Macaca mulatta: one gene and its partners. The protein of the gene in region 6 interacts with the protein of the main gene of each other region in a pairwise test. Links are inferred from orthologs where the notes say so. Each region holds a gene or a part of one and is shown on either strand. Other genes may lie near its edges.

The links.
Region 1: the proteins of RGS20 (region 6) and FASLG interact in binary tests that used the Homo sapiens proteins (3 or more experiments, as listed by UniProt). The two-hybrid records come from large-scale screens. The link is inferred for Macaca mulatta from reciprocal best matches to the Homo sapiens genes RGS20 and FASLG.
Region 2: the proteins of RGS20 (region 6) and OTX1 interact in binary tests that used the Homo sapiens proteins (3 or more experiments, as listed by UniProt). The two-hybrid records come from large-scale screens. The link is inferred for Macaca mulatta from reciprocal best matches to the Homo sapiens genes RGS20 and OTX1.
Region 3: the proteins of RGS20 (region 6) and PTPMT1 interact in binary tests that used the Homo sapiens proteins (3 or more experiments, as listed by UniProt). The two-hybrid records come from large-scale screens. The link is inferred for Macaca mulatta from reciprocal best matches to the Homo sapiens genes RGS20 and PTPMT1.
Region 4: the proteins of RGS20 (region 6) and HOXA1 interact in binary tests that used the Homo sapiens proteins (3 or more experiments, as listed by UniProt). The two-hybrid records come from large-scale screens. The link is inferred for Macaca mulatta from reciprocal best matches to the Homo sapiens genes RGS20 and HOXA1.
Region 5: the proteins of RGS20 (region 6) and GLRX3 interact in binary tests that used the Homo sapiens proteins (3 or more experiments, as listed by UniProt). The link is inferred for Macaca mulatta from reciprocal best matches to the Homo sapiens genes RGS20 and GLRX3.

What each region holds. Positions count from the first base shown.
Region 1 is NC_133406.1:30,155,206-30,160,825, reverse strand, and holds the start of FASLG (tumor necrosis factor ligand superfamily member 6), read right to left. Parts: upstream 3,392-5,620; 5' UTR 3,350-3,391; coding exon 3,005-3,349; intron 2,454-3,004; coding exon 2,408-2,453; intron 1-2,407. UniProt on the Homo sapiens protein: Cytokine that binds to TNFRSF6/FAS, a receptor that transduces the apoptotic signal into cells. Involved in cytotoxic T-cell-mediated apoptosis, natural killer cell-mediated apoptosis and in T-cell development.
Region 2 is NC_133418.1:61,712,048-61,717,501, forward strand, and holds the start of OTX1 (homeobox protein OTX1), read right to left. Parts: upstream 3,269-5,454; 5' UTR 3,201-3,268; intron 2,847-3,200; 5' UTR 2,778-2,846; intron 1,202-2,777; 5' UTR 1,093-1,201; coding exon 996-1,092; intron 1-995. UniProt on the Homo sapiens protein: Probably plays a role in the development of the brain and the sense organs. Can bind to the BCD target sequence (BTS): 5'-TCTAATCCC-3'.
Region 3 is NC_133419.1:18,021,060-18,024,673, forward strand, and holds the end of PTPMT1 (phosphatidylglycerophosphatase and protein-tyrosine phosphatase 1), read right to left. Parts: intron 1,716-3,614; coding exon 1,557-1,715; 3' UTR 1,380-1,556; downstream 1-1,379. Other genes in the region: KBTBD4 (kelch repeat and BTB domain-containing protein 4), read left to right, coding at 1-255. UniProt on the Homo sapiens protein: Lipid phosphatase which dephosphorylates phosphatidylglycerophosphate (PGP) to phosphatidylglycerol (PG).
Region 4 is NC_133408.1:101,250,904-101,256,579, reverse strand, and holds HOXA1 (homeobox protein Hox-A1), read right to left. Parts: upstream 3,498-5,676; 5' UTR 3,106-3,497; coding exon 2,454-3,105; intron 1,991-2,453; coding exon 1,635-1,990; 3' UTR 506-1,634; downstream 1-505. UniProt on the Homo sapiens protein: Sequence-specific transcription factor. Regulates multiple developmental processes including brainstem, inner and outer ear, abducens nerve and cardiovascular development and morphogenesis as well as cognition and behavior.
Region 5 is NC_133414.1:142,208,395-142,213,288, reverse strand, and holds part of GLRX3 (glutaredoxin-3), read right to left. Parts: intron 3,922-4,894; coding exon 3,749-3,921; intron 3,512-3,748; coding exon 3,450-3,511; intron 1,296-3,449; coding exon 1,238-1,295; intron 1-1,237. UniProt on the Homo sapiens protein: Together with BOLA2, acts as a cytosolic iron-sulfur (Fe-S) cluster assembly factor that facilitates [2Fe-2S] cluster insertion into a subset of cytosolic proteins.
Region 6 is NC_133413.1:64,601,685-64,606,578, reverse strand, and holds part of RGS20 (regulator of G-protein signaling 20), read right to left. Parts: intron 1,980-4,894; coding exon 1,745-1,979; intron 1-1,744. UniProt on the Homo sapiens protein: Inhibits signal transduction by increasing the GTPase activity of G protein alpha subunits thereby driving them into their inactive GDP-bound form.

The DNA of each region.
Region 1 (5,620 bases), on a different chromosome or scaffold from region 6:
AAAAAGGATTCTCAGCTTATACTTAGTACAACTTTGGAATTGTATGGTCTGTTTGCTTGCTTTTGTTTAGCTTCTTCACCATGCTAAAAGCTCTATAAGGACAGGTCCCCTGGGCTGGCTCATCCTCGATCAGCGTCCAACACCCAACATCTAGCCTCACGCATGTGAATGAATAAAAGATTTAATTAGCTAACTGGAAAAAAATGGAAAATGTAAAAAGGAACAAGTTAGAAAGTATAAATAATCTATAGTAGTATCTCCCAGAGAAAATCACTGTTAGTATGTCAGTGTGTAGAACCTTCTAGTTCCTAAGAATATAAAAACGTGCATACATGGTTACATAGTCAGTATGAAACGAAATATATCCTTTTGTAACTTGTCTTTTTATCTAACAATACACACTGCACAATCCCCAAGGCATTAAATGTCCTTCTGATACATCATTTTTAGTTGCTGCTTATTATGTGCTTGTTTCAATACACCATAATGTATATAACTAATCTAGTATGAGGCATTCAAGTTTCTTCTGGATTGTTTATTATAAATAGGCTCATAAGGGAGTAATGAACATCCTTATATATAAATCTTCAGGCACATCTCTGATTATTTTCTTAAGAGAAATTCTTAGTGATAGGATTACAACATAAACTATTAGTTTCAAGCTTTTGATATGTATTTCTAAAGTGCTCTTCAGAAAAAGTTATAGCAATTTACATGTATACTGGCTGAAACTAATGTTTAAACAGCACTTTTCTTTCAAATCTTTGTCAGTCTGGGTTTTTGTTAACTTTACTAATTTGATGAAAATTGGTGTTCCCTATTTTTAGTTTGCATCTCTTTTCTTATTAGTAAAGTTACTGATTTGATTTCCTTGTGATAATTTAACAATTTCTGGTTCATCTGGGTTGATCTAGAGAAGATAATTGCTTACTGGGGTAGATGGACATGACTCGTCTGGTCATTTGATTTTTAATCACTAAATTGACTCCAGAGAGGAGGTAAAAGATGAATGCTTAGGTACCTATCAGACCAGGCACATTCCACAGGTTTTCAAAATGATCTTATTTGAGACATCCTCCAGAGGCTTTATTTTTCTAGCAAATATTTCCACTCTGCTTGTGTACATATGGACTTTCTAACATTTAAGGATTAGGACACAGACTCAGGGGCCAGAGCTTCCCAACAGTGGCTCCTATAAGAACTTAACAGTCTAGGACAGTAGACAGGCGACTGGGTTGCCTGCAGTAGCCACATCCAGAGAAACTGAAACTTACTTCACTTAATAGATGGCCAGTGCTGCCTTCTTCTTTATTCTGAGTTTCTAAGGATGCGATCTATCTATAGTCTTTGCAGAGGTATCCTGCTTTTCCTCTATTTCTCACTCCATGCTCACTACAGAGAGACAGGAGTTTCCCTACTTCATGAGGCACCAGTCCAGTACCGGAAAGCCCTGTAGGTGACAAGGCATCAAGAGCCTGTGTTCCTTCTAGCCCCAGTTCCATACTAGGGGTCTTGGGCATATTCACCTAATCCGTCTGGCATTTTGTTTCTCTTCCAAAAAAATGAAATGGCTGGACTGGATATTCTAAGCTTCCTTCCAACTCTAAACCTTCAGTGAATCTCATTGTAAATCTAAATCTAAAATTTCAATGAATCTTAGGCTAGTGAAGCACATTGTAAAATCCATCTGTACAGAGCTTGCAAAACTATGCCCTGAAATTTCACGAGATCAGTGTTCCAACATATCGTCTTCTTGCCCTAGCTCCCATACAAAGGATTTTCCTTTGTGATCAAGGGTACCTCATGACTGCCTCTGAAGCTGAACATCCTTTGAATGATGGCTGAAGTCTTCCCTTCAGCTTCTCAGTGACTTCAAGAAAAACCATTCTAATGTACGGAATTGATTAGCCACATTTTAAAAGCTTACGTCCTATAAAACATTTTGTAAATAAAGTTTCACTGTAATCTCTTTAGAGGCTTTAAAAGAGGAGAGGACGTTTCTCAGAAACATCTGTCTCTGCCTTCACTTCGCCTTCTCTTCCCAGAAGTCATAGCCACTGGCATGTGTGCCAGGACCAGGGTGTCTGTGGAAGGGGACAGGCCTGGAACCACTGCTCAGGGGGCAAAAGTCCACGGTTGTATATGTGTGTCTCTTTCCAAAGTCAAGCGGAAGTGATTTTGAATTGTGTGCCGTGCTCAGCTATATTGATTGTGAGCAATTCAATTCACTTCACATTTATAAAGCAGCTCAAGGAATCATACTGACCAGAGATTCCGAATTAGCCAGGATTCCTCTCATAGTATACATAAGCCAAAGTGTAGGACAGAATATAAGGCATTCCATTAACATATTTCAGTGCTGAGGATCATCTTTAGGAACTCAATGTACATGTGAAAAAGGACTCACCTATTTGCTTCTCCAAAGATGATGCTGTATGCTTCTGGCTGGTAGACTAGTAAAAGAGAAAGAAAAAAGATGCATAATAAAAATAAAATTATTTAAGCAAAAGAGACAGAATCGTCAAATAAACCAAGCCCTGGAAAGAGAATCCAAATACCTCAGAACTTTTGCTGACTCAGGCTTTGGTCAAGCAATTTTGCTTCACTGTCCCTCAGTTTTGTGATTTGAAATCGTACCAGTATTTTAAGTATTTTCAAGATTTAGTTTGGTCATCTGAACAAATTTACTTCCAAGCAAAACTTAAAAGTTTTGTTTGTTTTTTACTCCTTAAATCACTAGGTATGAGGCAGTAAGTGGTTCAACAGACTGAGTTGACAACTGAGGAAAGAAAAACTGTTGGGCTCTGATTCTTTACAAAATAAAAAATATTCCCTTCACTCCTATGAGCCTCCATTTCTCTGCCTATAGAATAGAATAACTAGAACAACCCATTTCTAAGAAAAAAAAAAAAGGATTGAAAAGCACTTTGCAAGCCAGGCAGTGGGCCCTCCACCCCCTTATGCCTGGTGCCTCCAGGGCACAGCAGTCTGCCAGCAGGCTTACCTCTCGGAGTTCTGCCAGCTCTTTCTGTAAGTGGAAGAGCTGAAACATCCCCAGTCCCAATCCTACCAAGGCAACCAGAACCATGAAAAACATCACAAGGAGACAAAGGCCTGTGCTGTGGTTTCCCCTCTTCTTCAAGGGTGGCAGCGGTAGTGGAGGCAGTGGTGGTGGCGGTGGAGGTGGTAGTGGCGGCGGCGGCGGCGGTGGTGGTGGCCTCCTTTGACCAGGCCTTCTGGGCACAGAGGTTGGACAGGGAAGAACTGTGCCTGGAGGGGCCCAGGGAGAGCTGGCACTGCTGTCCACCCAGTAGATCTGGGGATATGGGTAATTGAAGGGCTGCTGCATGGCAGCCGGTGAGTCAGGCCAGCCCCAGCAAACGGTTTTACTTCTCAATCCTGTAGAGGCTGAGGTGTCAAGGACAGGACTCCTGTTGCTGACTGCTCAAGAGGAGGCAAGCTGGATCTCTCTTATAGAGTTTCCATAGCTAAGGGAAACACCTCTGTCTTTCTCTTTCTCTATGTCTCTCTCTGATTCTGCTTCTCAAAGAAACACCCACTCACTTTGCAGCTGAAGCTGAGAAGCCTCAAGAAGCTCAGAGCAAACCCCTGGAAGTTTCCGCCCACAATCTTCTGACGAAAGCCTTGGAAGCCTCAGTTGCTATCGCTGTACTACCCAAACAGGTTGGTAGGCTATGCTCACCTTCCTGGGATCCTGTAGAGCAGGTCAGCATTGGGGTAGAGCCCTGTTGGCGTGAACTGCTCCCAGCTACAGGAGAATGGCCAGTGGGGCTATAATTTTATGAATTATAATTGTATCCTTTTTTATACATTACAATTGTATAATGTTAAGAATTCTACCATGTATACGACCAAAAAACTATTTAAAAATACCAAAATAACTCTAACAAAAATTGTTCAGAACCATATTTTTTAAACTATAAAAATTTTACTGAAATTGGCTCTGAGGGGAGAGACCATGGAGCCATGGCCAGAGAAGTCACTCCCACATTTTCGTTTTTGCAGGAGGAAAACACCTGTTGCCATCATCGCTTCCCCACACACAACTACCATTTACCCTGACCTGCCAATCACCATAATTTACAGGTTAAAAAACCTGCTACACCCTCTTTAGAAATTAGATCAGAGGCTGCAAACAGTGGAACCCACAGAACTGCTTTGTATTTCACAATGTTTTCATTTTCATTGTTTGCCCAGCTTATTTATTTACGTATTTATTTAAATAGAGACAGAGTCTCACTCTGTCACCCAAGCTGGAGTGGAGTGGTGCTATCGTAGTTAACTGCAGCCTCAAACTCCTGGGCTCAAGCAATCCTCTTGCCTCGGCCTCCTAAGTAGCTGGGATTATAGGCATGAGTCACTACACCTGACTTATTTATTTATTTATTTATTTATTTTTGTAGAGATGGGGACTCGCTATGTTGCCCAGGCTTGTCTCAAACTCCTAGCTTCAAGACATCCTCCCACCTCAGTTTCCCAAAGTGCTGGAATTACAGTCATGAGCCACTGCACTCAGCCCAATTGACCACTTTTAATATCAATATTAAAAATATTTTAATATATATACATTTTAAATACACATTAAAATACATATTTTTGTTCTGTTTTGCAATATCAGAATATCAGACACCCTCGAGGCCATCTCTGCAAACCCAATCAGTGGGAAGTAGGTAGCAGCTGCTCCTGAGAATGAGCGACAGGTGTTCTGGGTCACCCAGCCTCCGCCAGCGGCCTGTGTCTCACACATCACCTCACCATCTGAAAGGCCTGCCTGGTCCTTGCCGATATTTCTGTGTCCTGTCCCTGTTATGGTTGCCAGATTAAATACATGGTGCCCAGTTAAATTTGAATTTCAGATAAATAATACATAATTTTTAGGACGAGTATGTCTTAAACACGTCCAAACATGGAATACACTAAACAATTATTCATCATATAACTGACATTCAAATTTAACTCTGTGTCCTATTTCTTTGTTTTTCTGTTGTTGTTTAAAGTTGGCCTCTCTACTTGGGCTCACCTCACCCTTTCCTTTGGCCTCACATACCATTTTTATGCCAATAACTTCCAAGTAGTTAGCTTCAGTCTTAATCATTCCCCAATAGAAGCCAAATAAATCCCCCATAAATCCAAATTTTTCATTTCTTTCATGTTTATTACCTTTCAAATTTCATTAGTTTTTATATCATGTTTTGGGATTTCCGTGACTGTCATTCAGGCCCACTCACCTGTACCAAACCAATACCAAGGATACTCTTTCCCTGATATATTCTGCCCATCCCACCCCATCCCCATCCCCGTACAATCTGTTTCTCCTGAGGCCACTCTTTCTGGCGGCAACTTCATCTCCTTTCTTTTCCTCTCCCCCAATGTTTAACTGGTCACCCAGGACTGTTGCTTTTACCTGAGACCTGTTCCTTACCCTCCCCTCGGTTTACTGCTCCCCTCCCCCATCCTTACCACTCCCATTTTTCTTACTGCTATTGCCTGGGCTCAGACTTTTTATCTCTCACCTGAAATACTGCAATAATGACCTAACAGGTGCCCTGCCACTGACCTTTCCCAAGCCCAAATCACTCAGTAAAATGCTACAAGAAAG
Region 2 (5,454 bases), on a different chromosome or scaffold from region 6:
CTGCGGGGACACGCGGGGGCGCCGCGGGTCATTGGTGGCCACGCGGACCAGCGATAGAGCACTCAGGCAGGCCCCTGGCAGGCCCAGAGCTCGGCCTTCGCAAGAGAAAGCCGAACTGGGAATAAAAGACACTCCCTCGGGCGGCCGAGCCTGAGAGGCCACAGGTGGGAGAAAGTGCAGATGTGCGACTAGAAGCCAGTGTCTCCAAGATTCAAGGGCTGCCCCTCTCTATGCCTCTCAGAGGTTAAAAAAAAGTAAGAGAAGTCTACAATCTCCCTTCTTCCACATTCCCCCTCCCCTGCGCGCGCACACACACACACACACACACACACACACACAATCTCTCTCTCTCTCTCTCTCTCTCTCTCTCTCTCTCTCTGGCTAGGGGACAGGGAGTGGGGAAGAGGTAGGCAGAAACACGACCTGAAAAACACTTTCGGAGAAAATAAATGGGGTAAAGGAGCCGGAGCTAAAGAACCCCGGGTTTGGCTCAGGTCGTCCTCTACAGCAGTGCAAAAATGGATGCAGGACATCAATTTAGAGGACAATTTAATTAGGAAGGAAGAATACTCCTTCAGTCCAGCCTGCCGCTTCGCATAAGGAAAGTTTGGCTCTTTCTGTCAGGGCCTAACGAGTGTCCAGATTACTCATTCCATGTTGGGGGAAAAGGAAAAACACTAGCCGCCCCTGGGTAGCGAATCCGCAGGTAAATGAGCTCTGCGCTGGTGGTGGGACCACAACAGGAGAAAGGTTGCCGGTGACCCGGCCAGGAAGGCGCACATTGCGCGTTTTCTCAGCCCTGGCCACCTCACATGCCCACGACTCTGCCCCGTGCGCCAGCAGTGGGCCCTGTATTGTAAACAGGCAGTGGGCCCTGTATTGCAATAGCTGACTCCCTGGGCCTGCTCGGCAACAAAGCTTGCACTCAAACCCAACAGTCTGGGGGGCCCCAACATTGGAGAGGCTGAAGCAGGGTCGGGAGGGCTGGTGCTCACCCGGATAGCCCACGGATGGGTGCAGGAGGTCCATGGCGGGCCCAGCCAGGCCCAGCCCGTTCATGCCGTATGGGGGTTGTTTGAGGTAAGACATCATGCTAACAGCTGGGTGGAGGCGCCCCGACGGATCCAGGGGACCTGGGGCCAGAAGCGGTGCAGGGCTCCCACCGCAGTCCTTCAGGGTCTGATGCGTCTGGGGGCCTGGCCTATGAAGACACGAGACACACGGAAACCATCAATCGGAGCCACTTGGCTGCCAAGTCTTGCCCCAGGATAGACAGGGAAGGCAGGTTACAGAACTGCGCAGGGTGGTCAACTGGAATCCACAAGGCCTTAGCCCAGAAACCACAGTTGCTTTGAAAAGTAAAGTTTTCTGGGTCGTCTGGCTCCAGCGTTGGAATGAGCCAAAGACACTGGTAGGGAGTCCATAGGAGTAAGGAGAAGTCAAAGCCAGGCCAGGCTGGGGAGGTCAGAGCAAGAACCGCGGAGTGTGCAAGCTCCCAAGTCCAGGCAAAATTCTGAATCCGGCAGAAGCCAGCTTCATGTTGCACAAGCAAACGTTCACTTGGTGCCGGGACGGCAGGCCTCCCGGAGCATGAGGGGTTGTTTCATTTTGTTTCACGTGTTTTTGAAAAGGTAGAGACTACAAAGGGCCAAGGTGAGGCAATGTGGAGGGCTAACCGCACCTCAACCTCTTGTCCACTTAGGACACTTGGTTCCTTCAAAGGTCTCCAGGGCTGCGCCCCTGCCCCAGAGCCCGCAATCACCATTCCAGCTGACCTCTCTGTGCCCAGCCACTGAAAGATCGCTGACGCGAAATCCCACCACACCTCAACCGCAGTAACCGGCCCAGGCCTCGCAGAGGGCCAGGGGACGCCGAAGAGGCCACTGTAGAGGGGGGCGACCCCAAGACGCGGCCTGAGGTCGGGAGCGTCTCAGCTGCGGCCAGCGTCCTTCGTTGCCAGCGCGCACCCGGCCTTCTCTGTCCAGTCTGTGCTGCGGACCACAGGGTCCCAGCAGGGGGTGAAGGGTGACTGACCTAGCACCTCAAAGGGTCTCGGGGATTTGCAAAGCCGGAGGGCAGCAAGTCCCGTGCTGTCATCCTTGTAGCTGAACCCGCGGCCCCAGGACACTGTCGAGAACAGAGAAGTAGGCCTCAGCGGCATAGCCCACGCAGACCCGAGCTGGGAGGTGGAAGCCTCGCCCCCGCCGCTGCCAGGAACCCGGGGCGGCACTCTCAGGGGTCAGGGAGGGGCGCTGGAAACTGGGCCTGGGGCTCTGGGGGGCCATTGCTACACCCCGCTTAGCGGGATCGCTGTGAAGCAGGCCAGGGACTCGGGCTAGGACGTTCAGGGAGAGAAGTTAGAGCTAAAGAAGCTCCCCCCTGCCCCGTTCCCACCCCGGTCTTCTGGGATCCAAGACCTGGGCTGAGGGAGTCCAGCTTGTAGGAAGGGGACGAGAAGAGAAGCAGCCAGGGCTCTAGGGCCGAAGGAAAATGGGACTCAAAGCTGCGACGGCTTTGCGAAGCTGCAGCGTGAGTTTTCAAAGACTTTCTCCAAACTTAGCACTTCAGCTTGGTTACTTCGGAGGAGGCGGGGGAGGGAGCGGCGGGCCGCGACAGCGCCCCGGGGTCCTCGGCTCACCAAGAGGGGAGCTAGGCCGCTCCCCCAGCCCCGCCCACCTGCTGGTGACCGGGGAAGTGGGGATCCATTTGAGGAGGGGGAGGTAAGGGTAACCAACGCGCTCCCGGAGTCCGGGATGGTCCCGCGGCTTTCTCCTTACCTGCCCTCAGCTGCCGGGGACGTTCACCATCTACCTGGATCTCTCACAGAGACCCGCCGGGCAGCCAACCTGCAAAACAGAGCGGCACAGGAATTACCCCGGCGGCTGGTCTAGGACCCCGGGTTTCTTTCTTTTCCCAACTTCCTTCCTCCCACCTCTATCTTTTTTTTTCAGTGGCTTTGTGCGTGTCCCTCTGGGTTTCACTTTATTGCACAGACACTTTGTTTGCTAAGCCCCACACGTTCTCAGGCAGGACATTGCCTCGCCCGGAATCGCGCCGAGGGGCCGCAAGGGGGGGAATTCGAGGGCAGAGTTGGGAGGTGGCTCGGCGTTACCGCGGCACTGCCGGTGCAACGTGGAGGCAGTGGGGACTGGGAAGTCCTGCAGAGTCACTTTGCAAACTAAATAAATCAAGCGATTTACCTTGTCGGAGTGGCTTGTCTTGCTCGGTTGTTTAGGTGATTGGAAATGTAGCCTGATGAAGATTGATCACCTTTCTACTGCCCTCCCCGGGTATGTGAACGCGAGGCGAGTGCGTAACGGGGCTAGGCCGCCAATCGGGGGCCCCGCGCGGGCTGAGTGACAGGGAGCCGGGCAATGGCAGCGCGAGCCGGGGGTTACCTCCGCGCGCCCCCGCCCTCCCCCGCCCCCCACACCCCGCCCTCCCCTCCCGCCCGCCCCGCCCCGGTCGCGCGCTAACTCCGGGACTCGGCTGGCAAAAGCGGCTCAGAGCTAGGCGAGGAAGGCGAGCGGAGAGCCCGAGTCCTGGCCGCGGAGGGGGCCGCGGGTCTCCAGGCCTTCCCTGGGCGCCCCCGCCCTTCTCTCGCGCTCTCGGCGCTCCGGAGGGAGTGGCAGAGACGAGGAGAGGTGCTGGAGAACCGGTTCCTTCGCTCTCCTGCGCGCCACCGGGCTCAGCCGCCCGGGTGTGGGCGCCAGGACCCGGGGGCGGCGGGCTGGAGGAGCCCGGGCCTCGGCCCCTCTCCTGGCGCCGCGGGCCCCAGCGTTTTCTTCCTCTGCACCGCCACCTGAGACCGACGCCGCGGGCGGCTCGTGCCGGCGCAGGCTACTTTGCAGAGCGCGGGAGCAGCTCCGGGCGTGCAGATCTCTCCTCGGCGCCTCGGGACTCTCGCGCCTGGGAAGAGCACCCACTGGGAGGGCACAGCCACTTACCTGCTCATCGGCATCTCCCGGGGTTCCCGGTCCCCACCAAGGGTGTTTGCAAGCCTTAAGCGCTTCTTCTGAAACGTTGGAGCCCAGCGTCCTCTTGCCCTCACATGTACACCCTACTTCTTAATTCAAACATTTTGATAGGAAAGTTTCTTTTTCATTCTTTCTCTCTCTTTCCTAGTCTGCCTCTAACAGGGACTTTTTGATGGAAAATGTGGCCACAGACCCCTGCCCTCAACTTTTTTCCACATGCTGCGTAAGGAGCCTCCTTGAGGCGATTTCCCCGGATTGTTCGTACGGGCGAAGCCCATTTCCCAGTGGAACAAACTTCCCAAACACGTCTGCCTGGGTGGACTTTTAAAAGTGCAAAAAAGAGTTTTCGTTCCAACTCTGAGCTAGGAGAATCTTTTAAATGGCACCTCCTTCTGAAAATTAGGCACTTTATTCCCTTTCGAGGAATTTCTACCCCTTGTTTCTAATCTCCCCCACTCCCCCACCCCGACAGGCGGGGTAAAAAGTTTGCACAGGAGTAAGTGTGAGGGCGAGTCAAGGAGCCTCCAGGCGCATCGCAGTGGGGAGCACCCGTGCTGCCCAGGCTGCGGGGTCGGGCGCGGAGAGCAGACAGGGCGCTGGGTGAGGAGGAGGAGAAGGAAGGGGGAGCCCGCTGAGTGAAAAGGGGCCGCGGCCGCCGCTCATCAAAGTGCTTCCCCCTCCCCCAAGCGACACTTTCCTTTGGAGTCCGAATAAAATACGGTAACAGAATATGATGGAGGGCACACTGTTTCCTTAACTGCTTCTCAAAGGACCCGGGAGATCTTCTTAGGACCTTTAATAAGGCTTTGGTCGGTTCTTTTGTTGATCTCTCAAAATCAACTCCTTCTAATTGAAGTTGGAGCTGAAAGCGAGCTAATGTTCAAAGAAAGTGGCCGCCAGACCAACGAAATTACATTTTTTTTTTTTTTTGGACGATGAGGGAACATCTAATCAAAGGGGCAGGGGAGGAGGGGTGGGAGTTGGGGCGTACGAAGGAGAAAAGGAGGTTTTACAAGATCCTTCTCTGGTTCACAAAAGTCAGCGACACGGGCGCTTCTCTCCAGAACAAAGACACCGCGGCCCATTCACAAAAGGGAGAGAAAGCTGAATAAAGAACGAGAGAAATGGGAAAAAATTAGAGAGAGAAGGAGGGAGAGAGTGAGTGAGAAAGAAGCTTTAAGAGGAAAAGAAACAGCGCAGAGCGCAGCGCTAACCCAGGCGGGCACACACCTTAGGCTCGCGCAGGCCCCTACCAGGAGTAGCCCACGAGGCCCGCGGTCAGCCACCCGCGGCTCGGAGCCACTGTGATCGTGCTGAGGTTTAAAGAAAGCAACGAAATATACCCTCGCCTTAGGTTCCGAGGAAAGGCGCAGGCTAGAGCGCACTAGTTTTGGGGAAAAGAACATGCGGACGTCCCGGGGTGCGCATCGTCGGCGTCTGCGTCCATAGCCCGGCGCTGCCCCAGTCCGGGCCAGTC
Region 3 (3,614 bases), on a different chromosome or scaffold from region 6:
GTGGCTGAAGGGGACTCCCTGGTATGTTACAATCCCTTGCTAGACAGCTTCACCCGGCTTTGCCTTCCTGAGGCCTGGAGCTCTGCCCCATCCCTCTGGAAGATTGCCAGCTGTAACGGGAGCATCTATGTCTTCCGGGACCGATATAAAAAGGGGGATGCCAACACCTACAAGCTTGACCCTGCCACTTCAGCCGTAACTGTCACAAGAGGTATTAAGGTGCTGCTTACCAATTTGCAGTTTGTGTTGGCCTAAGGCTGTGGGGAGGGGAGGAGAGCTGCTCACTCCTTTTCCCTCCCCATCCAAACTCAAAGTCCCCCGGGCCCCAATTCAGAGTAATGTATTTTTTGGCACATACTAGAAAGGCAGTGCCTCAGCCCTTCCCTGAACCCATGGAGGTGTTCTGTTTGGGGCTTTTTAGACTGCTGCTGCTCAGCTGGTTGCTTGAACTGACAGTAGGCCAGCCTGTTCTCTGCCATCCCCTAGTCATTGTGTGCCTCACCACAGCTTGCTTTAGAGCAAGCTGTTTCTCAGACCTTAGGCACAGCCTCTCCTCTTTACCTGATCAATGTTAAATATAAGCACCCCTGATCCCAGGACATAAGGAAAGATGCCCAATTGTACTTTTGTTCTATAACCTATGAAATGGCTAGTTGATCATTTTTCCACAAAGAATTAGGTGTTAAGAGTTTTCCTTCGGGCTTTACTTAGGAGTATGGACTAAGCTGAAGGTGTACTTCACCAGCAAGAGTCAACTCTAGAATTCAGGACGTTCCTTCTATTGTTTTCTCATCCATCTGTCAGGAAATGTAACTTTGGTTTTATTTTTGGCTTATTCCAAGGGGTAAGCCAGAAAATAGAAATGATTATTTCTGATTAATAGCAGAAACTTTTTCAAACTCAAATATGTAAGGTGTCTGCTCTTTTAAAAGCTCTAAGCTAAGTCAAGAGCTAGGAAGTGTTGATACAAATAAAAGTTTTTGAAGGGATATGTGTGTCTGTGTTGAATTCCGAAGGGGTGACTTTGAAGGGGCGAGAGTGTTTCATTCCCTCAGGGGGACTCCTTACGTACCATCACATGGCTCAGTCTGCAGCAGTCCTGACTGCGCCCATGCTCCCACTTCTCCAGACAGGATCCCTACTCCACAGGGCCAGTGAGACTCAGATTCTGACAGTGGCAAAGACCCAGAGCTGAGTTTCCTTTTTTCTAGTGCTAAGTCTTTTGAGTTGTGGTGCTAAATATTATTAGGCACAATATTAGGTACATAATAATAGATTTTTGTTAAAATACTTCTTTAGCTCTATTCAAGAAAAGAAGATGGCCCCATCCCTGTCCTGTATCCCATGAATACAAGCCACACTAAATCTTTTCCTTTCTAGCCACACAACAGTGTTATTTCAAGAAAATGAAACAAGACAGAGAAAGCAAAATTACCTATTACCTATTGGCACATTTTGGTTATGTCAAGTCTGGGCTTAAGCCCTGTGGGTCCCGTTAAGCTTTTTTTATTCTGTATCAAGCGGGAATGTCTTGAGTTCTTTCTAATCCACATACATCATGTCTTTGAAGTGTCAAAAGTCCCATCCTTTGCTGCCCCTGCAGTAACCTGCTTGTGGAACTCTTTAAGAACATCCAGCTGGCCAGGCCTGATGTGGATGTAAGACCGGATCTTGGCGATGGCTCTTACAGCCTCCTCTGGACTCCATCTGTGCACCTGAAGTACAGGGTTGAGAAATCAGCAGAGAAAGAAAGAAGCAGGTGTCAGGCCGGGCGCGGTGGCTCAAGCCTGTAATCCCAGCACTTTGGGAGGCCGAGATGGGCGGATTACGAGGTCAGGAGATCGAGACCATCCTGGCTAATACGGTGAAACCCCATCTCTACTAAAAAATACAAAAACTAGCCGGGCGAGGTAGTGGGCGCCTGTAGTCCCAGCTACTCGGGAGGCTGAGGCAGGAGAATGGCGTAAACCTGGGAGGCGTAGCTTGCAGTGAGCTGAGATCCGGCCACTGCACTCCAGCCTGGGTGACAGAGCGAGACTCCGTCTCAAAAAAAAAAAAAAAAAAAAAAAAAAAAAAAGCAGGTGTCAACGTGCCCTTGACACATGAGCAGGTGCTAAAGGACTTCGAGAGTTTCATTTCTTTGGAAACTCCATTTTGGAGGCATTAAAAATCATGCTTCTTGTATTATAAATGGGAGAGTACTGTAAACACTGCAGTCAGCCAGTCTCACAATACTATGCAACAGGCCAGGTGGAAAGTCAGTCTTTCTACCCAATTCTTGCTCTGCCAAATCCTAGAAAAAGAAAGTTGCACATGAGAAGCTGAGGTCCTAAGTTCAAGACTGCCTCAGCCTACTCCACATTCTCTCCGAGCTGGGCTTTTGGTTAAAAGAACTTCTAGGAACAAGTATGCAATAGATGTTTTGTTTGTTTGTTTTTTATTGAGACAGTGCCTCGCTGTGTCACCCAGGCTGGAGTGCAGTGGCGATCTCAGCTCACTGCAAGCTCCGCCTCCCGGGTTCACGCCATTCTCCTACCTCAGCCTCCCGAGTAGCTGGGACTACAGGTGCCCGCCACCACGCCCAGCTAATTTTTAGTATTTTTAGTAGAGACGAGGTTTCACCGTGTTAGCCAGGCTCAATCTCCTGACCTCGTGATCCGCCCGCCTCTGCCTCCCAAAGTGCTAGGATTACAGGCGTGAGCCACCGCGCCCGGCCTGCAGTAGATGTTTTTATGCAACTTGTCACCATGGCTAGAAAAACAAGTACTCATAATTTAAATAGGAGGGTTAACATGTCCTAAGGATACTCATTGGTTTAGAACTGAACAGAACCAAGAAAATACAGATTTCTAGCTTGCTAATTCAATTCTCACTGGGTACAAAATACCCTCCTGAGACCCTGAGTCCAGCAGAGTCCTTATGACCGAAATTTTAGTATCGTTCAACTACATACATACACACCAGTCCACAGTAACACAAGGCCAAACTTAGCTATTCACATGACTTAGAAAATGCTCTGTGGGAGCCATTTTGTAACTCAGGTTACAAAATGATGATGGACTACAGGGTATTTGTTTCTCCTAAATATTTTTAAAGCATCCCACCTGCCAATCATGACAAATTAACAGGCAGAATCTAGTTTGGAGCCTGTTTCCAGAAACTAATATCCAGAACTTGACTCTGGAATACTTGAAGAAACTTGAGTACTATAAAGCTGAAAATGATCATCACTATTATCTACAGTATTGTTCCCTGACATGGTATTAGAACAAGTGTCTAGCCTTTTGCTGGGGTTGAATATCTTTTGCAACTCCATTTTTAGAGTGCCCGCTGTAGCCAGCACTTGATGTAATTTCTTATTTAAACTTCATAATACATTTAGTTTGAGAAAACAGCATTAGGTATCAGTCACTTTTGCTGATCCTCACTGGCAGGCGGCAGAGCCCCAGGTTAGCCTGTCACAAGGCTCAGGTGCTTTCCATCATACCACACCACCTCCCAACAGCCTGAAATCAAGCACACAGCTCCTTCCAACAAGGCCCACCAGTAGACCATGCTATTGAAGTTCTGGAAATCTGCTATAAATGGGACCAGAAAGATTTTTTTTTTTTTTT
Region 4 (5,676 bases), on a different chromosome or scaffold from region 6:
TGCAAGGGTTTACTAAAAACACTCCATTTGAAGGGTGGAATATATTAGAACTCTGCGTGACAATCCAAAAAGAAGGAAGAGGAGTGGAATGAGGGCCCCATCCTCATAACAACTTTATACTGGAGCTAATCAAATGTGAATCTCTTAGCTCTTGGTTCACTGATGTGAGGAAAGACTGACTGAAGACAGTTTTGGCTTTTGAAGGGAGTTTTGTGTATATATATGTCAACATCCAGCTGGAGGTGAAAAGGTTAGCACTTGACCCAGGAAGTATCCATGTTTGTTTCAAAAATAAATCTGCTTCATAAATTTCTTCATCAGTCTTTTTTTTTCCATTATGAGCTTTGATTATAATAAAGGAGCTGTTACTAACTTTTATTCAAGAAAAGGCCCATCTCTTTGAAAATATTTACCACCCTTCTCCCTTTCCCCTCATGAAATATGCCAACTTCGTAGGAATTAACAAATTGTAGCCCAGCCAAATACATGGATGCTTAAGCATACCTGAAACTTGAGTATATTTATTTATTACAGACATCCTAAGACCCGTAAACTCTGCTCTGGATCATATCTCTCCAGGATCTCAGAGCTGTTCATGATTGTACAGGAAATGGGGAATATCATAGGCTCACAAAGGATAACTGATAGAACTCAGTGTGGTACTTCGGGGACATCAAACATTGTGCGACATGCAAAAGACTATTCACGAATCACACAAAATATACATTCATTGTGCCATCCATCACATTAACAATTGACCTGAAAATACATTATATCCAACTAAGATAACTGTGGAAGGAAGAAGCTGGTTTGAATAATACTTTTAGGTTCTGAATAACCCAGCACAAATTTTAAACAGAGGGTGGCCCAAGAAGAAAGGAGTGGGGATTGGGAAAGACTTAGCACAGGAAGCTGGATTTCTGAACTTTGTGCTCTGCAGGGCTTCTTAACTGTAAGAACAAATCGAGGCTACCCTCTGAGGCATCTGATTGGATTTAAATGAGGAAATTTGTTCTTTCACTTATAAAATTGTGCCAGTTTTGAGAGTTTGCCCACCCTGTTTTAGTAACCTAAACATTTCTAGAAAATCTGTATAAAGATAAATCTCTTAGGACAAAGTATTCACAACCAGCAAACTCACACACATGAAAATGACTTAAATTAAGGGATGAATTAATTGTGTAAACACACAGTGTATCTCTTCTTCGTGAGCTCCTGGACTCTCCTTTCACTATATCCTACTTTCAAGGACAAGGGAGGAGAGAGCTGTACATATAGTTAGATAAAAGATGAGAAGATTCCTTCTGGCATGTTTCTGTTGGTAAAGGGAACTATTTTCCAAAAAGTCATCTGAAAGGAACAGTAGGTTCTGTGAATTCTCCTAAAATCAGGAGGGATGTTAAGGCCCACCAGAAAATGTGTGCTGGCACCCAATCTGGATTAAGGTGTTAACCCGGCACCAAGTCTCTGGTCCAGAATTATCTGCAAACATATTATCCTGGCCAGGAGCTCCCCAGATAGGATCAGAAAAGAAGAGACTGTAAATGGAAAGAAAGATAAGCTAAGCATGTGCTTTGGGTAAGAAGTCCCAGCCCAAGGAGATGCCTGGGCTGTGGTCTGGGACTGGAGCCGCCTTAGTGGGAGGTAGTCAGAGTGTCTGAGGTAGAAGACCCCGGGGAAGGAACGCAGGGCGAAGAGCTGGACTTCTCTGAGGATTCCTCAGCCTTCTCGTCGTTTCCTGGCGGGGTGGCTGGAGAGATGGGCAAGAGACCCTCCTTCTCACGTTTCTTTTGCTTCATTCGGCGGTTCTGGAACCAGATCTTCACTTGGGTCTCGTTAAGCTGCAGGGATGCAGCGATCTCCACCCTGCGGGCACGCGTCAGGTACTTGTTGAAGTGGAACTCCTTCTCCAGCTCCGTGAGCTGCTTGGTAGTGAAGTTGGTGCGCACCGCGTTGGGTTGACCCAGGTAGCCATACTCTCCAACTTTCCCTGGGGCAAAGTGGGAAGCCATGAGATGGAAAGGTAAAAATTTTTAAACCGACTTGAGATTACCTACACACTTCATGGCAACACTCAGGTAAAGAAAAGATCAAGAACTCAACACAAATCGGGCTGTGGAGGGTGAGTGATGAGGTGTAAAGTGTTAACCTGAAGTCAACCATTAGCGTGGTCAGATCGGTGATTAATGGAGCCTTAAGATATTAACAGAACACTACCGTCACAATAACCACCCCCACACACTTCCTACTTCCCAAATGTATAAAATCCTTGAGAACACGCCAATCCCTGAGGCTTCTTTGCCCCAACACCTCTGGGTACCCTCTCCATGCACTACAACACTAGTCTTAAAGCCTTTAAAAAAAAAAAGATAATTATTAATTTTCCTTGGAAATTAAGCATACCAGCTCCTTCCAGATTAATCAAGGAGCATCCACCAACCCCCAGGACTGACCTGTTTTGGGAGGGTTTCTTTTGACTTTCATCCAGTCAAAAGTCTGCGCTGGAGAAGATGTCTCCGATGCAGGAGAGCGACAGGCTTCTTGGTGGCTGGCGTGGAGAGGGGACAAGGAGTTATTATACGTAGCCAGGGCCAGGCTCTGGTGCTCTTGTCCATATGAGTGGTGAATGTACTGAGGCGAGCCCACCGCGCCCCCGGCATAACCCTGGTGGTGGTGGTGATGCTGTACCATGGGAGATGAGAGATTTCCAGAGTAAACAGCGGGAGCGCACTGGGGGTACCCACCACTTACGTCTGCTTCCTGATTTAACGCGTAGGGGCTGTAAGGCGCACTGAAGTTCTGTGAGCCATAGCTTGGACCACAACTCGAGTGGGAGTAGGACACCCCCAGGTTCCCGGAAGTCTGGTAGGTAGCCGGCGGGGGGTGGTGATGGTGGTGGTGGTGGTGGTGGTGAGGCGAACCGATCTGCACCCCCCTGCCCACTAGGAAGCGGTCGTCGCCGCCGCAGCTGTTGGTACTGACCGCGCACGACTGGAAAGTTGTAATCCCATGGTCCGAGGGGTAGGCTCGGGCTGAGCAGGTCCCCGAGTCGCCACTGCTAAGGATGGGGTATTCCAGGAAGGAGTTCATTCTTGCATTGTCCATCTGTCACTGAGTGACCTGGTCCTGCGAAGCCCTGGGTGACCGTGCCAACTTTCTCACTTCCTCCATGGGGCCTGAGAAGAAAAATGATATGAATGTACAGTGCGCAAGAGGGGGGGGCGGGAGGGCGGAGGACGCTAGGGGAGGGGCACGTGACGGTGTCAGCCAATGGCTGAGCCTCCTGCAAAAGTTTGCCGGCTTCCGCGGTGATGGATCACCGTTTCAGTGGCATTTAAATCCCCGGCGCTCCGCCGTCTAGGTGACGCGCAGTCGCCCCCCCAGGCAGCCCAGGCGGCGGCAGCTGCTGCGGCGACTGCAACGGCCGATTTGGAGTGCTGGAGCGAAGAAGAGCAAAGGCTGCCTTCTGCGCGCGCCCGACTCCGCTGCCCGCCCCGCCAGGCCTCCGGGAGGTGGGGGCTGAGAGGCGTCCCCCGCTCCCGCCCCCTCCCCACTGTGCACTGAAAGATGAACTGGCGAGAGGTGAGAAGGGAAGAGGGCTCCCGGCTCTCTCGGGGCGCGAGTTAGTGGGCCGGAGTTCGCCGGGTGGCCGCAGGTTCGCGGGCCCAGCCCGGAGCGCGCCCAACCGGAAGGCGGGGAATCCGGCTGACACCGAGCCCCGGGTTCCCAGGCCGCCTTCTCTGCTCTGAGGCTGGGCTGGGAGACCATGGGGCTGTGAGGAGCGCACAGAACCGTGGCAGGGGGCGAGGCTGGGCCACCGGCTCTCCAAGCGCGGAATGGAGAGGGAAGAGCGCAGAGGGCTGGGTGGGAGGAACTCGGGTGGGGGTGAAGGAGACGAGGGCAAGAAAAGAAACTTCCCTTCTTCCAGGAGAGTCTCCGAAACCCTCTCCCCACAGCCCCCGCTCTTCATTAGCATGGCAATGAGGAGTTTCTGTAATTCGACCGGGGAAGGGGGGGTGCGGAAGAGCCCTGGAAACAGGGATTGCCGGAAAAGGCCGGGGGCGACCGGGCTCTTCTTCCCCACCCTCCCTCTCTCCTCGCTCTCCGCCGTTTCTTTCCCACTCAGTTTTGCAGCGGGAGCCCTCCGGGATGCGGAGCTACTCGACCGCCGGATTTTTAGGGGTAGGAGGCGGGGGAGAGAGATGACGCTGGCGGACGTGGCCAGCGTGGGGGCCGGGCCGTGCGCTGCAGGCCATCTGCCGGCGCCCGAGACCCAGGAGCCTCCGCTCCCGCGTGGGCCTCGCAGGGCCGGTCCACAGCTCCAACAAAGTAGCTGAACTCCCTTCGTTGCGTTCCTCTTTTTCTGGAGAGGAATGTTAGAAGAGAGAGAGAGCTTCCTTTTGTAACCTTCCTCATTCTGCTGCGCGTCTAGAGTGGGTGCGGGGACTGGCAGGTGGGAGGAGCGGTGGACAGATGGCTGATGGTGGACAGAACACTTTACCCCAACGACACCTCCTCCCCTTTCCAACTGGCTGGGTAGTTGCTTATGAGAACCTTCAAGTCTTTCCTTAGAGAGACACGTGAAAATCTGAGCGTCATCCCAGGCCAAGGGTCCTGTTCCCCATCACCCTCCTTCTACCCTGACGCTGCTGAGGTCGTTAATTGTTGTTTACTATTAGGTTTCACGTCAACCCTGGGCTTGTAGAGAGGAAAAAGCCAAACGGAGACCAATAATTGATGCAGTCTTGGGTAGGAGAAATCGAGAGCTCGTCCAGGAAGCTTTGCAGCCAATGCTGTATAAATTTTACTCCAACCATGTGTACAATGTTGGAATCAGATGGAATTTATAGTGAGGAATGTATGTGGGTTTGGGGTTTCCACTCACCTTCAGCCTTTCCTCCCCTGTTAGAACAAGGAAGGTTTTTTTTTCAAGGCAGGCACATTTCAAATATGTTAGTCACCCTTTCAGTCTTCTGTATTCTGTTCTCCACCTACTGAAGCTCCCCCAAACCTGTCCCCTCAAGAGGGAAAACCCATGCTGACTCTGGACTCCCTCAGTAACAATGAAACATTCTCCCCAAACATTTCCTTTCAGGTTGGTATTTCTCTGTGACTTTGATCCATTCCAAGCATGGTTAAGAGGGAGCAGGGGCAGGAAAGAGCCGCTTCCTGGGGTTGGGCAGCCACCCCTGCCCCAGTTTCGGATCCTGGGAATCATCCTTCTGGAGAAGGGGAAAGGCAAGGCGGTCCTCCTGGAGGTGGCTTCCTTGGGAGCGCCAGCTTCCAGCGGCAGGGAGAGAAAGAGCTCCTGTGGGGGAGTGGGCAGGATGTGAGGAGGTCGGTGCTGGCTATGAGAGCAATCCTTCCTCCAAGCCTGAGCAAGTCAGTACATTTTCCCCCGCTGCCTCATTCCTGTACCTTGGTTGCCCTCCTCAGCCTGGGTTTGCAGGACCCCCTCGGCTGCAGGGCGCCTGCCACAAAGCCGACCCCGGCAGGAGCCACTCTCCCTTTGCTAGTTCGCTGCTTCGGCGCTGCTCTCCCTCAGCCTCTCTTCTCTCCTGGCCTCTTTTCGGGGGTATCCTGGGTGGAGTGTTTTTCTTGGGATCACGAGCTTACTCTCGCACACAGGCCCGCAGACACACAGGCCCGCGGCCGCCCTCCTCCGTTTACTGTTCC
Region 5 (4,894 bases), on a different chromosome or scaffold from region 6:
AACACTGTTTCCAAAATGTATTAAAACTTTCTAGGTTTCCAGAAAAAAACAGTTTTGAGAATAAATATCCGCTTAAACAATTACCAAGAATAAGAAAAAAATGTCACTTTATCATTACTAGGAATTATTAACTTCCTCTATTGTTTCAATACACTGAAGCAAAACCAAAGAATTTAGGATCTAACCTAGTGATTCCAAAATGCTGAAATTTATATTAACATTTTATTTGTTACTGTTACTTTCATTACCTAATTATATTAACCAATTAGTTATGTTAACTAATTAGCTTCATTATACTAGTTATGTAACTTACACACTAGTTATGGCAACCAGAGTCTGCCCTGTGAAGAAGTATTGAGTCCCTTTCCCAATGAGCAAAGTGGCAAAGTGGTTCTCTGTGTCACTTGCCCAGTGCATCTGGCTAACAAGTGAGGCAGTTTCTTTATTCCAACAGCCTCACCTTTCAAAGCTTTGGTTTCTTTATCTCTAAAATAGGCCAAACTCTGTCCAACCCTGCCTACTTCAACAACTGATTGAGAATTAAATAGAGGTTCAATTGCTATGAAAACTACAAAATATGGCATAAATGTGTATGGCTGGTTTCTGGAAATTACCACTCTGATCTCAATCTGAAAGAAAATTAGTTCTGCTCAAACTATTAGTGGAAGTAATCTATCAAACTTGATATTCAAAATGACGCACAATCAATATGCACTTTCGTCAAAAAGCTACAAGAACCATCCCATTACAAATGAGAATTGCTGACCATTTCACTCATTCATCAAACACTACACACAGCACACCTGCTACAGCCAGGGTTTGCTCCTCCACTGTCACAAAAGGACGATCTAGGGGTGCAAACCCAAGCACGACCAGGTTCCCTGCATTCAGGAAGTCCAGTGACTCAGCTGCACACTCCAGCAGTCCACAAACTCCAACAAAGGATAATGAAATAACAACTCATACAACCAGTAAAGTGTTAACAGTGTTGACCACGTTAGCTGACAAAGTTTGGCAGCAGAAAGAAATGCACCCCACTGAGATGTTGATGATAAAGTCAAGCAAAATGTAGATTACTTTGTTTGATCTCCGTAAGCACCAATTAAGGCCTGGATAACTTCCTGATACCGCTACAGCTTCATTAGCTAAAGCTAGGAAAAAGAGATTTAACTGTCCCCTTGTTGCAGATGTTAACATCAAAAGAAATTACAAATAAAACCATTTTTGAGTTCTTTACCTGTTTGTTTCCTTTCATAAAGAGCATCACAGAAGCTTTATTTGTCAGCACTTTGAGCCTAAAGAGAGAAAATTGATATAAAACGGCTCAGCTCAATTATGCAACACCACTTTTCCTCCGCTTCGTGAGTAACATGCATATTTGAGGGATGGCAGGATGACAGTTCACAGCTTTGAGTGGTATTAAACAAGCAAATGCGTTGACATTTTCCTTGATTTCATTCTCTCCCTAAGCCACTGTAAAACACAATATGGCTTTTAAGGCAAAGAATGTTCCTTCAAGTTGCAATTTAAGCCCATCAACTCACAGTAATAAAAAAATAATAATAACAACCAATTCAGTAAGGAATTGTTCAATAAGGGGCCTATATATTAAGCCCATCCAAAACTTCCAGAACTAGATCTTGTGAGCACCATCTTCCATCATGATGCTGCACACCACTGTACACGTGTAAAGCTCACAAGGTCAGACTGCAGGGTGACAGCATTAAACCTCAGAACATCAACTAATGCCAGATGCTAAAATCAAATACTTTCATCTTAACATTATATTTTATACAGTATTGCCAACATCATAATCTAATATGTTATCAGAAATTTTAATTATCTGTATACAGCCACAAGTTTAGTCACAAATCTCAGGAAAAGTCAGTGTTGGGACGACAGGTCACTAAAGAACCTAAGCTCCATGGGGTCACGCCACCATGTTCTCCCAATTCAAGGCTCAAAAATCTCCTTATAAACGAATCCCAAATGAAATGCATAAATCATGCACAAAGCTGTATCACTTACATTGCCAACCGAGTGGGATTAGCTCAAGTTCAGAAAAATATGAATGGATACAGGAATACGATGCTGACCCTGACAACCCAATAACTAACCCAGCCACCTGGATACAGGGAACCACAGCTCACAATGTACTGCCAAAATACACGTCACAAGTCCATGAACTCCACTTCCTGCACTCTGCTCACTAGGAGCCCTTTAAATTATTACTCAAAATATGCTGAATTTTACTTTCTACATAATTCTAGCCAGTTACCTTTCAGTGTCCGCAAGCACAGATTTAGAAACAGCACATTTAGGAAAACAAAGGCCCAATGGAGACAAGGCCATTAACAGCAGCAAGTGTACTCAGCAGAGAAGGAAAATCAACTGAACAGCGAATACAAGCATATAAAAAGCACAGCTGTCCTTGGAGAACACACAGCCTCCATGGGCCATGGGCATCACCAGGCTACAGGCAAGAACCACACATGAAGACGCCCAGAGTCAACAAAGGGATGCGGAGCATCACTCTCTCACGAAGAACGCAGAAAATGGTACAAACCACAGGACAGAATGCAGTACTCAAAGATCAGCCTTACATACGTGGAATGGAACATTATTTATAGAAATTATTAATTAACAACAGACAAATGAGGTAATTATTATTATTACACACTTTTAGAAATTCTCAAGATGTTACATGGCAAAAAAAAATTACCAAAGGAAGGTTTATCTTACAATCTCCAGCCCCAACCTATGAATGGCTGATTGCTGATATAGTAAGTTCCTCTTTAAAGTTCTATATTAATTCACATTTACTGCAATAAAAATCCTATTAAGTTGCCTTATACACCAAAGTCCAACGTTTCTGTAAGAGAACTTCTCCAAAAGCCAAGTGAGATCCTTGACAAAACAAATACATGTTTCACAGCCCCAAAACCTGCTCATGTAAGTTCTCGTGGTCTAGAAAGGCCATGAGAAGTGCCCAAAGCTTGTTGCGAGGTGATGAGCTTTTCACACTCACCACTTGTCACTCAGTGCTCTGGCGTTGGGGCAGCACCCGCAGCAGTCACCAAGGCTGCACCCAGGAAAACACGAGTGTGCTGAGGTTACGCCAAGGAGCAGTGACAAGACAACTGGACCCTGGCTCTGAAATGCAGAGAGGTAAGCAAAATTTGGTTGTTCCACAGAAACAATGACATTTCTATAAAAGCAAAGAAGGTCCTCCACATGATCATTAAGTTGGTGCTAAAATTTCTCCAATCCAAATTAGATTTGCCAAAGTTTGCATGGCTAGTTTGACTAAACAATGAAATTATGACCTCTGGCATACAAATACCAAATCCTTGATTTCTACACAGAAAGAGCAATGCAAAACCTGAGGACTTTAAAATATTTTTAACATATTAAATGACAGACTATTTAAAACTTTCCAAAACACTTACCTTTCCTCTAATTTGGGAGCTTTGGGACAAATTGTATCTAGTTCTTCAGATGCTTCTAGCTCCTAAAATAAGCACACATGTCAGTTTTATAAAAAAAAATTATTATAACATAAATCTCCTTGATCACACCATAACACAGCTTATTGATCAATCAACTAATCAGAAATACTGTGTATTCATTGCAGGTTCTTATTAGTAAATATAGATTCATAAGAAATTTGTATCTTAGATTTATCACACTTTAAAAAGTATGCTCTAAATGGAATTTATTTACAAAGCACAGACTTCTCAATTCTAACCTTAATTATATCAAGTCCTCCTATGAGCTCTCCAGAAACGTAGAGCTGAGGATAGGTAGGCCAATTGGAATAGGCTTTGAGTCCCTGTCGAACCTCTTCATCTGAGAAGATATCAAAGCTGCTAAATTGAATATTATGTTTGTGAAGAATTTCCACCATCTGCTTGCTGAAACCTGTACACAAAAAAAGAAAATAAAGCACTTAGCTTCTCTCTCTCGAAACATGTACACATGATAATACATTAGTTCAGCATACACATCATCTAATGGACATAGACGCCTGCCTTATTTTGCTGGTGATTTAATTAGCATGGCTGGATAGTATACAAACAGAAAATAAATTCCTGGATCCCCTTATTTGACCTTGAACCATATCACACACTCAGATATGACTTAACTTTTTGACACAATTGTGAGTATTAAAAAAAAAAAAGTGGTGTGTGTATTTATTAAAGTTACTCTTCAATATCATGGACATTTTTTGTCACAGAAGAAATAGCACTAGCCAAAAAGCAGAGACCTGAGGGTGATGGTGCATACCCATAATCCCAGAGACTAGGGAGACTGAGGTAAGAGGATCACTTGAGACCAGAAGTCTGAGGTTGGAGCAAGCTATGAGATTGTCACTGCACTCCAGCCTTCAGTCTGAGTGATAGAGCAAGACCCTGTCTTTAAAAAAAAAACAGAAATCTGAATCTGACACCTGCTCCCTCCACCCACCAAGGTGACACATGATGAGGCCATGGGTGGCCTCCGCTCAGCACTTTCCTAGTAATCAGGAGACCTGACGCTCTGGACAGTCCCTCCCAGCCTTCCTGTTGTGAACCTACAAGAATCAATTCTGGGCAGAGGAAAAAATTCTACAATTGTTATTTTTAACTACTACTTGACTATACTAAAAACCCAATGCTGTTTCGTTTCTACTGCCATTTTACTACTTCCTGAGTTCCCACTTCGGTAGTTCTCAATCTTCACTATCTCTAAGTAGGATAAATTAAAAATCAAGAAGGCTTGTGTTCTCCTGTAGTCTGAAACACACACAGTACATTGAATTTTAAAGCTATCTTCTCTGTTGTTATATATGAACCATCAATAGATTGACGGTATTCATTCTCATGTCATAACTTGACAGTTTCTTTTTTAAAAC
Region 6 (4,894 bases):
GCCCCAGTGAGTGCTGAGCGTGTGGCCAGGGGTCCTGGTCTGTCTGCCCACATCTCCAGGAGCTCCATGACAGGAGAGGCCCTGCTTCTTCAACCTGACATTCCTGTCAGCACATAGTAGGAAATAACCAATAGTTTTATAATTAGAGCTGCAGGGCACCCAATTGTGAGAACAATCTGACCTCCTAAATTTTGTTATTACTATTTTTTTGAGGTGGAGTTTTGCTCTTGTTGCCCAGGCTGGAGTGCAATGACGCAATCTCTACTCACTGCAACCTCCGCCTCCCAGGTTGAAGCGATTCTCCTGCCTCAGCCTCCTGAGTAGCTGGGATTACAGGTGAACGCCACCACACCCGGCTAAGTTTTTGTATTTTTAGTAGAGAAGGGGTTTCACCGTGTTTGGCCAGGCTGGTCTCGAACTCCTGACCTCAGGTGATCCATCTGCTTCGGCCTCCCAAAGTGCTGGGATTACAGAAGTGAGCCACTGTGCCAGGCCTGACCTCCTACATTTTAGATCTGAAGTAACTGAAACTCTGACAGGTGGAAACTTGCCCAATCTCATTCAACTGATAATTTCTTGAATGTGAAAAGGCCAGCCTGGGGAAAACCTTTTCCGCATCAGTATCACATCTGTGATGCTGCTGCCCTGTAACATCAAGATACCTAAAGACAATATTTTTCTCAGAATAACAAGATAATTTTATTTAAAGGAACTTCTTAGGGTGTAATGTTTGTAAACAGTGTTCACCATCAAATGCAGACTCCAGGGGATACTTTTTCCAGAAAAATGCACAAAAGTTTTCACAGATTTCAGAGGACACTTGCAGCCCCTCTGCAGGTCCACAGTCAAAGGGATCTGAATGCTGTGAATGAGGGTGCAGCTGTTTGGTCATGTTCAGCTTGACCCAGAACAGCAACTGCAAAATGTAGAAAACAGCTGCACCCGCATTCACGGTATGCAGATCCCTTTGACTGTGGACCTGCAGAAGGGCTCCAAGTGTCCTCTGAAATCTGTGAAAACTTTTGTGCATTTTTCTGGAAAAAGTTAAAAGTAATGGCGAGGCCAGGCACAGTGGCTTATGCCTGTAATCCCAGCACTTTGGGAGGCCAAGGTGGGTGGATCATGAGGTCAAGAGATCAAGACCATTCTGGCCAACATGGTGAAACCCTGTCTCTACTAAAAATACAAAAATTAGCCAGGCGTGGTGGTGCGTACCTATAATCCAACTACTCTGGAGGCTGAGGCAGAAGAATCACTTGAACCCGGGAGGCAGAGGTTGCACTGAGCCAAGGTCGTAGCATTGCACTCCAGCCTGGGCGACAGAGTGAGACTCTGTCTCAAAAAAGAAAAAAAGAAAAAAAAGATGATTACTTTTGTTTAGTTTTTTGAGATGGAGTTTCGCTCTTGTCACCCAGGCTGGAGTGCAGTGGCGCAATCTCAGCTCATTGCAACCTCTGCCTCCTAGGTTCAAGTGATTCTCCTGCCTCAGCCTCCCAAGCAGCTGGGATTACAGGCACCCGTGACCACACCAGGCTAATTTTTGTATTTTTGGTAGAGACGGGGTTTCACCATGTTGGTCAGGCTGGTCTCCAACTCCTGACCTCAGGTGATCTGCCCGCCTCAGCCTCCCAAAGTGCTGGGATTACAGGCGTGACCCAACGTGCCCGGCCTGTGGCAGTTGCTTTTGCACCAAGTTAATACTTTTACCATCAGCCTTGGGAGAAGGCATTTCGTGGTCACATACCTCCTTAGGAGAAAGTATAGAAATGTAGTCTTCATAGATTATCCTTGCTTTCTCTTCAATAATGTTTTTATTAGCTTCCTTTTTCAGTTCCTCACAGGCCATCCAGAAGAGCATATTTTCTTCACTGAATTCTGTTCGGAGGAATTCACGGAATGCATTCCTTCCTGCTGGAGTGACCATTAATTTGTCGAATGACTGAGCCCAGGCATTGACTTCTTCCAGAGTAGGAGCAGGGCTTCGTGGAGACCAAAAGAGAAGGGGCATAGGGGAACTGTTAGTGGTAGTTAATTGGAATTTCATCATTAGAAATGTATCTTTTCCTCCTCCAAGAATGAGAAATATATGCATTTAGGCCCTTTTAGGAAGGAGAAGAGCTGTTCTCCTTTCTTCAAGCCTTTGGGAAAAACACATGAATATGATACTTTCACATTGTTTGCTGGATTGCATACCAAAAGGCTTGCAAACCAAGTTGCTATAATAACTGCTAAGAACATGCTTGTTTACAACTGGGCACATCTTGCAATATTTTTAAAACTATAAATGTAAAGAAAAATCCTACAACCATCTGACCCAAAACTTCCTAATCACCTGTGATGAGTTCTGTACTACAACAGAACTAAGTCAGGTTTGACAACATTAAACCTCTAGAACAACAGAGCAAGTGTGTGCTTAATGTATTTTAAAATTATGTAATATTTGAGAAAGAGAATATATGTAATATAAATGCAAGTTATAAATGCCACCGCTGTACTGTCCAAAGGTGACAACAAAATGAACACTTTTTTTTTTTTTTTTTTTTTGAGAGTCTCGCTTTGTTGCCAAGGCTGGAGTGCAGTGGGGTGATCACAGCTTACTGCAGCCTCGGCTTACTATGCTCATATGATTCTCTCTCCTTGGCCTCCCAAGTAGCAGGGACTACAGGCAGGTGCCACCATGCCCAGCTAATTTTTTGTATTCTTTGTGGAGTCAGGTCTTACTATGTTGCCTAGGCTGGTCTCAAACTCTTAGGCTTAAGCGATCCACCCACCTTGGCCTCCCAGAGTGCTGGGATTACAGGTGTGAGCCACTGCATCTGACTCACTTTTAAAAAAAAATTACAAACATTTAAAAAATATAATTGGGGGTGCAAGTGCATGGATACATTGTTACATGGATACACTGCACAGTGGTGAAGCCTGTGTTTTTAGCGTAGCCATCAATGGGATAGTGTGCATTGTAATCATCAGGTAATTTCTCATCCCTTACCTACCTCCCACCCTCCCATCCACCTTTCCGCGTCTCCAGTGTAAATGAACACTTATGAATGGGCTATTTTCCTTAAGAACCAGAACAGCACTGACAATGTTGCATTTATTTTGGTGCTACTTCTACTTGCTACTGTCTCCCAGCTTCGTCCCCTAGGGAACTGCTATACTTGACTTTGGGGTTACCCCTTTGAGTTAATTCTTACTTCTGTCATAATTGTATCGAGATCAGAAAACATAGCTTAATAACGATCCTTAATATCTCTTTTATTTTGTTTCCATAGTTTTAAATGTATGTATGTAACCCTGAAAAATGTAGTCTTTAGTTTTTATTTATTTATTTATTTTATTTTTTTAAGACAGAGTCTCTCTCTGTAGCCCAGGCTGGAGTGCAATGGCATGATCTCGACTCACTGCAACCTCCGCCTCCCAGGTTCAAGCGATTCTCCTGCCTCAGCCTCCCAAGGAGCTGGGATTACAGGTGCTCACTACCACACCCGGCTACTTTTTTGTATTTTTAGTAGAGATGCGATTTCACCATGTTGGCCAGGCTGGTCTGGAACTCCTGACCTCGGGTGATCCACCCACCTTGGCTTCCCAAAGTGCTGGGATTACAGGTGTGAGCCACTGGTAAGTATAATGCAAATATTCTGAAATCTGAAAAAATCTGAAATCTGAAACATTTCTAGTTCCAAGCATTTTGGATAAGGGATACTCAAACTGTATTTCAATCTCCTTGTTATATGGGTCTTTTTGGATACCTTCAGGTTCACTATTTATTTAGCTGTATCTAATCTTTTATTTCAATCATCAATTTTAAAACAATTTGAACAATAATATTTCATTTTTAAAACTTCTATTTTGTTTGTTTTCAAATCTTCCAGGTCATTTTTTTTAAGAAATGTGTTAACAGGCTGGGCACAGTGGCTCACGCTTGTAATCCTAGCACTTTGGGAGGCTGAGGCGGGCAGATCACCTGAGGTCAGGAGTTCAAGACCAGCCTGGCCAACATGGTGAAACCCCATCTCTACTAAAAATACAAAAATTAGCCAGGTGTGGTGGTGGGTACCTGTAATCCCAGCTGCTTGGGAGGCTGAGGCATGAGAATCACTTGAACCCGGGAGGCAGAGGTTGCAGTGAGTCAAGATCACACCACTGCACTCCAGCCTGGGCGACAGAGCTAGACTCCATCTCCAAAAAAAAAAAAAAAAAAAAGAAATGTGTTAACAGTGTTTACTCTCTTAGAGGTTAGATCACTTTCTTTACTTATATACCATTTAATTTTTGGCAAGCATCTATAGCTTTTTCTTTCTCCCTCTCCCTTTCATTTTATTTATTTATTTATTTATTCATTTATTGAGATGGAGTCTTGCTCTGTCTCCTAGGCTGGGGTGCAGTGGTGCAGTCTTGGCTCACTGCAACCTCCGTCTCCGGGGTTCAAGCAATTCTTCCTGCCTCAGCCTTCTGAACAGCTGGGATTACAGGCGTGTGCTACCACGCCCCGCTAATTTTTATATTTTAATGAAAAGGGGTTTCACCATGTTGGCCAGGCTGGTCTCAAACTCCTGACTTCGGGTGATCCACACACTTCGACCTTCCAAAGTGCTGGGATTACAGGTGTGAGCCACCGTGCCCGGCCACCGTTTATTATATAACATACTTTTATTTTTAAAAGTATATTATATAAAAATAAAATAATATGTTTTGTTAGAAAGCATCTATTTGTATTTGCAATTAGCAAAGGGATTAGACTAATAATAGAACTGATTTCTCTCCCTGTCACACGATGAATTAAATGGAATTCTGCAGGGGAGGAATGTGAGGCCACATAATGATTGGATGTTACTAAATTGCAAGTAGAGAAAGTGTGCGTTTCTGTTGAAACATACAAGGCAAAGAAAAGAAA